2 linked regions of the Coturnix japonica genome follow. The protein of the gene in region 1 purifies or fractionates together with the protein of each later gene. This does not show direct contact. Links are inferred from orthologs where the notes say so. Each region holds a gene or a part of one and is shown on either strand. Other genes may lie near its edges.

Region 1 (4,769 bases):
TCTCCACACTCAGTGACCTCAAGATTTCAGGTCAAGCGTTCCCTTACTAATCCAGCAAGTTTCTGGTTGGTTTTAGTTCGTGTGCTTAACAAATTTCTCCAGTTCCTTTAAACCTTATTCATTTAGATAGGAGCACGCAGCCAGCCCTCTCCTCAAACCTTCCTCCCCATATTATATCCCTGTTCCCCAACACTGAGACCACTGATTTCAACTAGAACTAGTCCAACTGTGGACTTAAGACTTGCTGAGGGAATGGTGGTGAAGAAGCTATTCTTCATTCCTCAAGAACAAAGAAGACTGTAAGCAGTTCCCAGATAGCAGGTTAATGCAATGTACCCTTCTGTGCACTTTCATCCAATAACCTGTACAACCAGAATGAATGTCCTGTTTGTTTGTAGCGGTTGTTACTGTCTTAATTTGTCAGCACCTTTCTAACAGAAGCTCTGTTCTCTGTTTTAAGAACTTGCTTGTTTCTAAATTGAACAGTAATCACAATGGGTAGCGACTATAAGCACAGTGACATGCTGAAAACTATTTCTATTTAACTTTGATCTCTAACTTCTGTAACATTACAGCTGAACTAGAACAGACTCTGAGGTTACCCAGTTTGAGAGCTCTTCAGAAAACACAATATCTGCATAATTTTTCCTTCCAGGTGAGAAACACCAAACCAGCCATCAACATACAACTGTATGTTGTCTGAAAATTGAGAGGCTTTGAAATGGGTGCCATCTCAGCATGTCAAATACATGTAAATGGAGTGCCAGCATTTCTGCTGTGCGTGCTACCAGCGTGACACAGAAGTGTTGACATGTTCTCATCACGTTCATCGGTGGTTTATTACAGAACTCCAAATGGGAGTAGCTGAAAACCATTCTACCAGCAATTCTTCAAATCCGATGAAGTCATTTAAACAACAAGCAACGAATAGCAAACTTTTGGTACAAATCTTCCTGAGATCGTTCTGTAGCAATCTTTAAGGGAGCAGCTTATTCAATGAACATCTCTGCACAAGAGACACCACAGCAGCTTAGTCCAGGAGCTGAGCTGAGCAGCAGGATGGGCTGCTGTGTCTGTGTGGCATGGGAGTGTGACCTGCAGGGAACTCCAGTGAGAGTCTGTCAGGGTTTTTCCTCACCAGCTGCTCTCTAAAAAACTCAGGCAGAACTTTATATTCCATCTCCAACTACAGAAGGTGATGGCTGCCATCAGTTCTACCTCGCACAAAGCACAGAGTTCGTTGCTTTGCTGTATGGACAGTGTCCAAAGAAGCCCTTCAGTGGAACAAAAGGCAAAGAGCAAAGCATTTGTAAAAGTTTCTTGTCGTATTTATTTTAATCCCGTTCATCAGGAATAGGCTCAGTATACAAAATGCAGCAGTGCATCTCTATGTTAAATGTAAGAGGATCTTTCAGCTTCACATTAAGTCTGAACAAAAGAAAAGCTCCATAGTCAGGACAGAACGCACTGAACCCACGTTTACAATCGTTAGGTTGACATGTTAAGTCTGCAAAACATTGTCTACGTCATTTGCAAGGTGGAACATATGAATAGCAAACCTTTTGGGGACGACAGTGTAAACATCTTCCCCATTCTGTGCAGAAAGCTTTTATTAAAAAGTTTGCAAGTTGTCCTTTCACATCAATGATCTCAAAGCCGAGGTCGGGTTGGTATCGGAAATATCCCATATGGGTTTGGCTGTGCATTTTAAAAATATAAACATATACACATGCTTTTAACAGTGTACAGCAAAGGACATTCAGATGATCTACTAAGAGCCCTGTGGGCACCAAGCCTTTATCATTTAAAAGGAATTCTAAAGATCACTGACTGTGTCAAAGCAATCCACAGCAGAAAGGAGGCAGCATCCTGCACTCTCACGTGAGATTTGAACAGTGCTGTTTTCTTCTATGCCAGTGTAACTTTCTATACACAAGAATCTAAGAGCCCTATTATCAATTTAAAATTAGCCGCTGGTCTTCCTGGCACTGAACAGTACCTGAAGCACAGAACTGGTCTGAGCTTTTTACAGGGTGCTACGCTCAAACGTTTAAAGAAACTGCAGGTAGCAAATGAAGGACACATCTGTCTTCCTTTCTTACATAATTCTTAGCACAACAGAGGATTAGATGTACAAGGGATGCAGAAACAGACTGAAGTTTATATCGTTGCACGTAATGAATACACGGATCCTAGATGAAGGATTTGACAGCTCAGGAACAGGCAGAATGAAGCACTGTTAAGCCACCCATTAGGCTTCAGCACGTACACCTTTACGAGATCAGGTTGCCCAGGGCCCCGTCCAACCTGGCCTTGAACACCTCCAAGGACGGGGCATCCACAACCTCCCTGGGCAGCCTGTTCCAGGGCCTCACCACTCTCCTAGTAAAGAACTTCCCCGTAACATCCCTAACTCCCGGGATTCGAGTCTCTGTGCTGCAGAGCGGCACTTCTACCACAGACAGCTGCCACACAGACATCAAGGAAAGGTGAAAAAACCCCCAAACACCCTCAGGCCGCTCCCACTGCCTCACCTGCAAGTCCTTCTTTAGCTTCAGCAAGTCCTCGTTGTCAGCGTTCCCAGACAAGGCCGCCTCGACCTGCTGCAGCTGGGCCTTGTAGCTGGCCAACTGCTTGGCCAGGTCTTCCGACATCTGCAGGGAACACACAGCTCAGCACAATAACAACAACAGCGGGCACGGAGCTCCTTCACCTGCACTGAGAGCTGCACAACAACGGCAGCCTGCGGCGTAACGAGCCCGATCCCTCCCCTTCCCAAGGCCCGGCCGTGCGGGGAGGCAGGGCCGTAACACTAGGCCTAGGCCCAGGCCCGAGCGCGGGCTGCCTTCCGGCGGGTAGCGACAGGCAGCGGGGCGGTATAGAGGGACCGAGCGGCCGCTACTCACCTCGGCGGGCGCTGTGGGGCCCGAGGGCCGGGCCGGGCCGCCGCGCTGGAGCCGTGGGGCCGGTACCGCCTGATGGCCGGAGCTGCGGGCCGCGCTACGGGACGGGAAGTGGGAGGAGCCGGCGGACAACGCGCACCGGGCATCGCGAGATGAGAGAGCGGCGCTGAGCGGCACGGCTCGGTGATGGCCGGTAGGGGGCGATGCTGCTGCGCGCACAATAGACTTATTCTATTTTCCTATAGTTCTATTTTTTACTCCCAGGAGGGGAGTAAACTCTTGGAAAGGGCTGACAATAGCAGGACACGGGGAAATGGTTTTAAGTTAAAAGAGGGAAGATTTAGGTTGGATGTCAGGGGGAAGTTCTTCACTAGCAGAGTGGTTAGGCCCTGGAACAGGCTGCACAGGGAGGTTGTGGATGCCCCGTCCTTGGAGGTGTTCAAGGCCAGGTTGGACGGGGCCCTGGGCAACCTGATCTAGTAAAGGTGTATGTTTGGTGGCCCTGCCAGGCAGGGGGTTGGAACTACATGATCCTTGAGGTCCCTTCCAACCCGGGTCATTGTGTGATTCTGTAACAAATTAACCTCTCATGCTTTCTATTTATTTTGTGTAACAGTTTATTATTGTAGGCAGAGCCATCCAGTTTGCCCATAGATGCAGTTCTGTGATATTTCATGGCATTGCTGTTGTTGCTCCATTAAATTACAAGGTTGGAGTTTCCATTCTCTCTCTATTCCAAATCATGGACTCGGAGTTTCACACAGTTTGGCTCTTTTTGGTTTGTTTGTTTGTTTTTGCCATTACAACTCCTGAATCTTGGCCTAATTCTTGCTGTTTGAAATACCTGTTCTTACAGGAGTTTGTTTGTGAAGTGAATTTAGGTTCTGAACATAATTAAACTCCCTGTAACCCCGGTACCCGACCTGAGGTATGGCGCTAAGCGGAGAAACAGAGAGTTCTGACATGTTCTGTACTGTGAGTGATTACAGTAATTATCCCCCATCAGTGAAAAGGCCCAGTGACTCAAAGTGAGGGGGAGAGGTGAATCAGAATTGAATGAGGATGAAGAGACAGGGCGGAGCATCGTGGAGATAAGAAGAAAAGGTCAGTATTAGGGAGAAGTGACAGAAAGCCTGCGCTCATTGGGGCATCACCTGCTCCAGAAGAGCCTGAGGTTCTGAGTTTTCTGTTCACCTACTGTTGGCAGCTTTGTGAATCCTGACAAAATGGTGTCTCCCATAGGAAATCCCAACCTGCCGGCACACAGCTGGTCTGTTCAATGGGTCTGCGTCAGGATACACAACTGGCAGATTGTCAGGTGGTTTTTCAGCTCGACGTGTGCCTCCAGCATGGAGGAATATGCCACGTCAAGGCATGGCTTCTCTCTGCGAGGCACTCTGTGTCAGCGAGTGTGTTGGTGCTGATTGCCTGGGGCCTGGAGATGCTGGTTCTGCAGCTCAGGGTGCTGGGTAGGCTGCGGCCGAGATTGCTTCTGTTCACACGAGGCTTGGATGACAGCAAAGCTGAGAAGATGATGGGAGGCTGGAAATAGAGAGCAAGGGCCAGAGCAGTGGGTAGAAGAGCCTGGGAGGATTAGAGGAGCCTGAAGCAGTGAGCCAGCAGCGTGGGAGGGTTGGGAAGCAGGAACTCGAGGTTAACATGGGAACAGCGTAGGGGTGCTTTGTGTTTGTGTGTGGGGAGAGACCTGGGAAGCACGGAACAAGGAGTGCTGCTGTGATGAATGGAGGGGTTGGGTGGGGGGAGGAGGCAAAAGCCTGGCATCTATCACAGCAGCTCCACTGAGTGCCAGCACCCCCTGCTCTGCACTGGCATCTGACAGCAGTGCTCCCACAGCTCTGTCTGTGC
Region 2 (4,773 bases), on another chromosome or scaffold:
CACCGGCCAGCCAGGGAATGTCCCATTTTCCCACTTCTTCTCAAACTCGGTCTGAATTTTCCCAAAGAGCTCATTCTGGTCCAGTAATGGTTTCACACGATCTGTGTACTCCTGTAGGTACTCCAGAAGCATTTCAAGATACCTGGCAAAGTAATTATCAGCACAGACAATTCCATATCAAAGTACTGATATAACAAAGTTACCGAGATTAGAACAGATTTCAATACAGCAAACTAAAGTACTGCCTCAAAATTAGAAGCCCAACGGCTTCCCACGTTTTGTTGTGCTTCACGTCCTCTCAGGGCTCAAGGGATTTATGACCGAGTTAATACAGCTCAGTGACCCAATCTCTGTCACCTCTGCTTGATTACTAACTCTGCTCCTGGACACTTGAGAAGCAAATTCCTTCTCATCAACTACTTTCATGAATGAAGCAGGCAGGAAAAAGACTCACCTCTTATATTCAGCGTTTTTTCTCTCTTTGGGGATGTCAAAGAGTTGGTCAAATGTAGACAGATAAGTGATGTAATCCAGTTTCTAAGAATGAAAGGAAGTTTGATTCAGACTTTAGATACACACAGCATATCAGCAACCAATTTCCAGTCACCAGACTAGAAGAAAAGCACAAAGCTCATGCCTTTATTCTGCATGGTCTGCACAGGGCTGGGGTTTACAGTGTGCTTTCTAACACAATGCAAAACAAGCACCATAAAACAGCTATTTGGAAATAAATGACATTTAAAACAGACCACTGAGCCCTCAGCACTGAAGTGCAATACAACAGAGTGCCCACACTACTGCAACCACTTACCTCTGATGATTTCAGATTAATGTATTTGAGATAGCAATCATGCAGATCTAAGTATCTTCCATACCCTTCTTCATCTGTGAACTCCACCAGGTCTGCAGGAAAGAGCACGCAGGGCTTTGTTACAAACTCAACATCCTCTGCTTGTTATATGCATGCTTTAGAAGCTGAACTGCAGACTAGTTTATCTTTCTTAAGCATGTTTATAATGCAAATGGATACTCATCGACTAGATGGCCACCAGCTTCCTAGTGTTATATCAGACCATCCCCCAAAAGAACCATCTCAACAGTGGAATATTTCAGGGTGGCTGCAGCCCAGAAGAATTTAAATGAAATTAAAACAGTTGTTATGGTTAATGTAGGGAAAGGGAGGTGGAAATCAAAGCAGAACAGACAGGTCACTAAATCACGGCAAGCAATGTGTTCTCAACTAAACAAACCTCAAACAAGAAACAAACAAAACCCTGAAGACTTACTTTGAGCTTCTTCACTTGGGTTGTCTCTGGCCTTCAACAGTTCCTCAAACTCCACTGACATTGGAACACAAATCTTCAGGAACAGAAGAAGTTATAGAAAAAGGGATTAGTTCAGCTAATGCCCAGGAGTAATTAATACAGACTGCAAACAGTAAAACAAGTAACTGAAGAGGTGTTTCAAGCACTTCTTCATGATTATATTTGCACTAAAGACAGCATTAGGCAGGCAAGAATGAATGCTAGCTCAGAAGCAGAATGCTCTTAAACTAATAGAGAGTGTGGAGGACATGGTGAGCATCCTGCATTTTCTCCTACTCAGACAGAGGCTCATATAAAGTCTCAAAGCATCACCTATTTCTAGACACTTTGTTTTCCTGAATGACATTTTAATACAGCAGAGATGAAGCCCAACACACCACAAACCAGTTATCCTTATGGAGCTGCTGCTTACCTCATTGGGATGCTTGCGGTGGAACTCTTTTATTTGTTTCAGTCTGTTATAGAATTCAGCAAATTCATTTGGCCCTGAAATGGCACTGAGCTCCTCCTTCCGTAAGCTACAGGTTCATAAAAAGAAGACAGGTTGCATATAGAAAACACGTTTATGTTGGTTTATATTGGTATAATGTTTGGAAGTCTAACACTGCATTCTGCTCCCACAAAACACCAGTGAGACTGAAATCACAGCCCCACCATATGGGGACAATAATGAAAAGATGGTAGTAAATAACCAAAAGGTTATTTACAAGTTAAGCTCACCCATATGGAAGCCTTAGATCTGCTGGGAACCACTGAAGTGATCACTACCAAGCAGCAATCACCAAGAGATGCTGCATTAGTGGTGGTCAGCCCTTCAATGAGGTCTAGAGGAGGTGAAGTCAAGCTCCACCCCTTTATGGGGAACAGCTAAATTACTCTCACCTGTGCTCCCACAGCTGACCCAACACTTGGCTCAGCTGATTAATCAGAGGTTCAGGCTGTGATTACCAATCTCCCATACACCCACTGATGTTCCACATGCAGCCAGGATTGTGCTTTGAGGATCAGGGTCACATCTCTATTGCAAACGCTGCAGTCTCAGTTAGAGACCGTCTCCCTCAATGATTCAATACCAGAGGGTCTGGTACAGCTGGTGGGGTTGGGTGAGAGGAGGTAGGAGTGTGGTGGGGGATCAGCTCCACCCCCATATGGGGATAGGAAGGGGGACAGGGCTGTAGTACTGCTCTGTGCTTTCTGCTTGAGAAGTGTTTGTGTTGCATGTTTCATGTGAAATCTGGGTCCTCCTCTTTAGGGCAGACCCCCAGCTTTGCATTGTAGCATCATGTCTGTGGTGTATAAAGCAGATCCAAGGCAGCCCCATGTCCATTCCAGCCCGCTATACACTCACCCATCCTTATCGTCATACAGGTCCCTCAGGTTGCTGCTCACTTCCATGTACCTCTAAAACACAACACAAACCTCACGTTGACACAAAGAACCTCAACCAAACCGGGGCCAATCTGGGCCCTGCACCTCCACAGCTACCCGAACCACCCCCAGCCCCACTCACACCCCGACCCCACTCACATCCTGCATAGCCCGAGTCCTGTGGTCGGAGTTGATCTGATCGCGGAGCTGCATAGAAATAAACGGCGTTAATAATGAAGGCCTGAGCCCGGCCTACCCCCCCCACACCCCCCCCCCCTCTCCCCGGGCACACACCCCCTGTGTCCCCCCACTCCCATCCCCGGGCTCACCGTGGATTTCTTAGTGAGCATCTCCTTCACCATGACGTCCATCAGCCGCTCTCGTTCCTCATGGTAGCGCCGCTGCTGCTCAAGGATCGTCTCCATCTTCTCCCCTTCCAGCCCGGAACCAGAAGCTCGCTGTGTAACACCGGAAGGGTCCGGCCCCTTCCCTGAGCCGCTTGATCCGGATTGAATGTGGTTCCGCGTTGATTTTAGCCCATGTGAAGGTGTAGAGCAGTGAGATCCACTGGCCGCCACAAGCCAGTTATCCCAGTTATCCCAGAAAAGTGGGAACTTTTCTGACACCTCTCGCTTCAAACCCATAAAGTCGTAAGGATTGAGAGCACTGCAGGTGCCCCCAGGCTGGGGTGAAAGCCTCCAGCTTCAATGTGGCTGTGGGCAGCGTTATACAGCCATGAATCACAGCCCAAGCAGAATAAAACATGTCCAGTCCGGTGCTGCCTCCTTCCTGCCTGCCTTGGGGTTACAGATGTTGCTCCTGGGATGAACAGACGTTGTGCTTAATGGGCTTTGGACATCACGGCTGAAGGATGTCAGGACTTAGGGGAAATGGTTTTAAGTTAAAAGAGGGAAGATTTAGGTTGGATGTTAGGGGGAAGTTCTTCACTAGGAAAGTGGTTAGGTCCTGGAACAGGCTGCCCAGGGAGGTTGTGGATGCCCCGTCCTTGGAGGTGTTCAAGGCCAGGTTGGACGGGGCCATGGGCAACCTGATCTATGGGGTCTCTATGGGGTCTCTATGGGGATCTATGGGGTCTATGGGGTCTCTATGGGGATCTATGGGGTCTCTATGGGGATCTATGGGGTCTCTATGGTCTCTATGGGGATCTATGGGGTCTCCTGGGCAACCTGAACTAGTAAATGTGTATGTTTGGTGGCCCTGCTAGGCAGGGGGGTTGGAACTACATGATCCTTGAGTATATTGAGGAATAAAGCTGTCTCTGTGAGTTCTGCGGCCTCCCCACCTTTTTGGACCTTAGCTGAGGGTCTGGAAGAAGGGATAACAGCAGGAGGAGCATTCAGGATGCCTGAAGGGCTCAGCCACATCCCTAACCTCACGTAACAGAGGCAAAGGAGAAAGTTCACCTTCAGCTCTGGTTCCCCACTACCCCAGGCAGTATGGACAGTAGTGGACCCGGGCTTGTTAGCACACACAGGTCCAAGTCCAAGCCTTCAGCTGCACCTGGTCTCCAGACCCATCCCTGCAGGGCTGCAGGAGCTGCTGGGGCAGGTTTATGTTGGGTTTAAGAGCTCAGAAGAGGCTGTGCTGGAGCCATGACCTGACGCTGCATGTAGATGCCTGCAGCTGGGAAATGGGTGACCTCCAGCAGGGAGCTGAAAAGAATGTTTGGAAAGAGAGAGCCCTCAACCACAGGGCAGCGAGGGATGCCCACAGTGAGCCCCAAAAGCATGTGGCAGGAGCCACCGTGTCCCTCTGTAGGGTGGCTTTTCAAGCTCAGTGTGTGGTTAATGCTGGGCTCACAGTGAAGGCTCTGCTCGCCTGGCTGCGTGCTGAGGAGTATTTCCGTGCCTGCTTCAGACCATGCTCTGAGAACCCAGGGGAGGTTTGTGCATGACATCACCCTCCCCCTCCCGTAAATCAGGCCCGGGGCCGCTCGCAGCCATGACCCATTCATGACAGGGATAAAATCCAGATGTTCCAGCTCTACGTGCAGCTGGGTCATTTCCTTTTTTGGCTAAAAACGTGAGGCTCTTGAGGCTGAGCAAAAGAGGAACCCAGG

Evidence for each region. The genes of interacting proteins can lie anywhere in the genome.
Region 2: the proteins of SMNDC1 (region 1) and SF3A3 purify together in Homo sapiens (affinity purification with mass spectrometry; 3 studies listed by BioGRID and IntAct, with this or other methods). This does not show direct contact. The link is inferred for Coturnix japonica from reciprocal best matches to the Homo sapiens genes SMNDC1 and SF3A3.

Annotation. Positions count from the first base shown.
Region 1 is NC_029521.1:22,832,079-22,836,847, forward strand, and holds the start of SMNDC1 (survival of motor neuron-related-splicing factor 30), read right to left. Parts: upstream 3,027-4,769; 5' UTR 2,907-3,026; intron 2,655-2,906; coding exon 2,535-2,654; intron 1-2,534. UniProt on the Homo sapiens protein: Involved in spliceosome assembly.
Region 2 is NC_029538.1:3,123,638-3,128,410, reverse strand, and holds the start of SF3A3 (splicing factor 3A subunit 3), read right to left. Parts: upstream 3,166-4,773; 5' UTR 3,119-3,165; coding exon 3,023-3,118; intron 2,901-3,022; coding exon 2,853-2,900; intron 2,727-2,852; coding exon 2,674-2,726; intron 1,844-2,673; coding exon 1,738-1,843; intron 1,360-1,737; coding exon 1,287-1,359; intron 904-1,286; coding exon 812-903; intron 538-811; coding exon 455-537; intron 143-454; coding exon 4-142; intron 1-3. UniProt on the Homo sapiens protein: Component of the 17S U2 SnRNP complex of the spliceosome, a large ribonucleoprotein complex that removes introns from transcribed pre-mRNAs.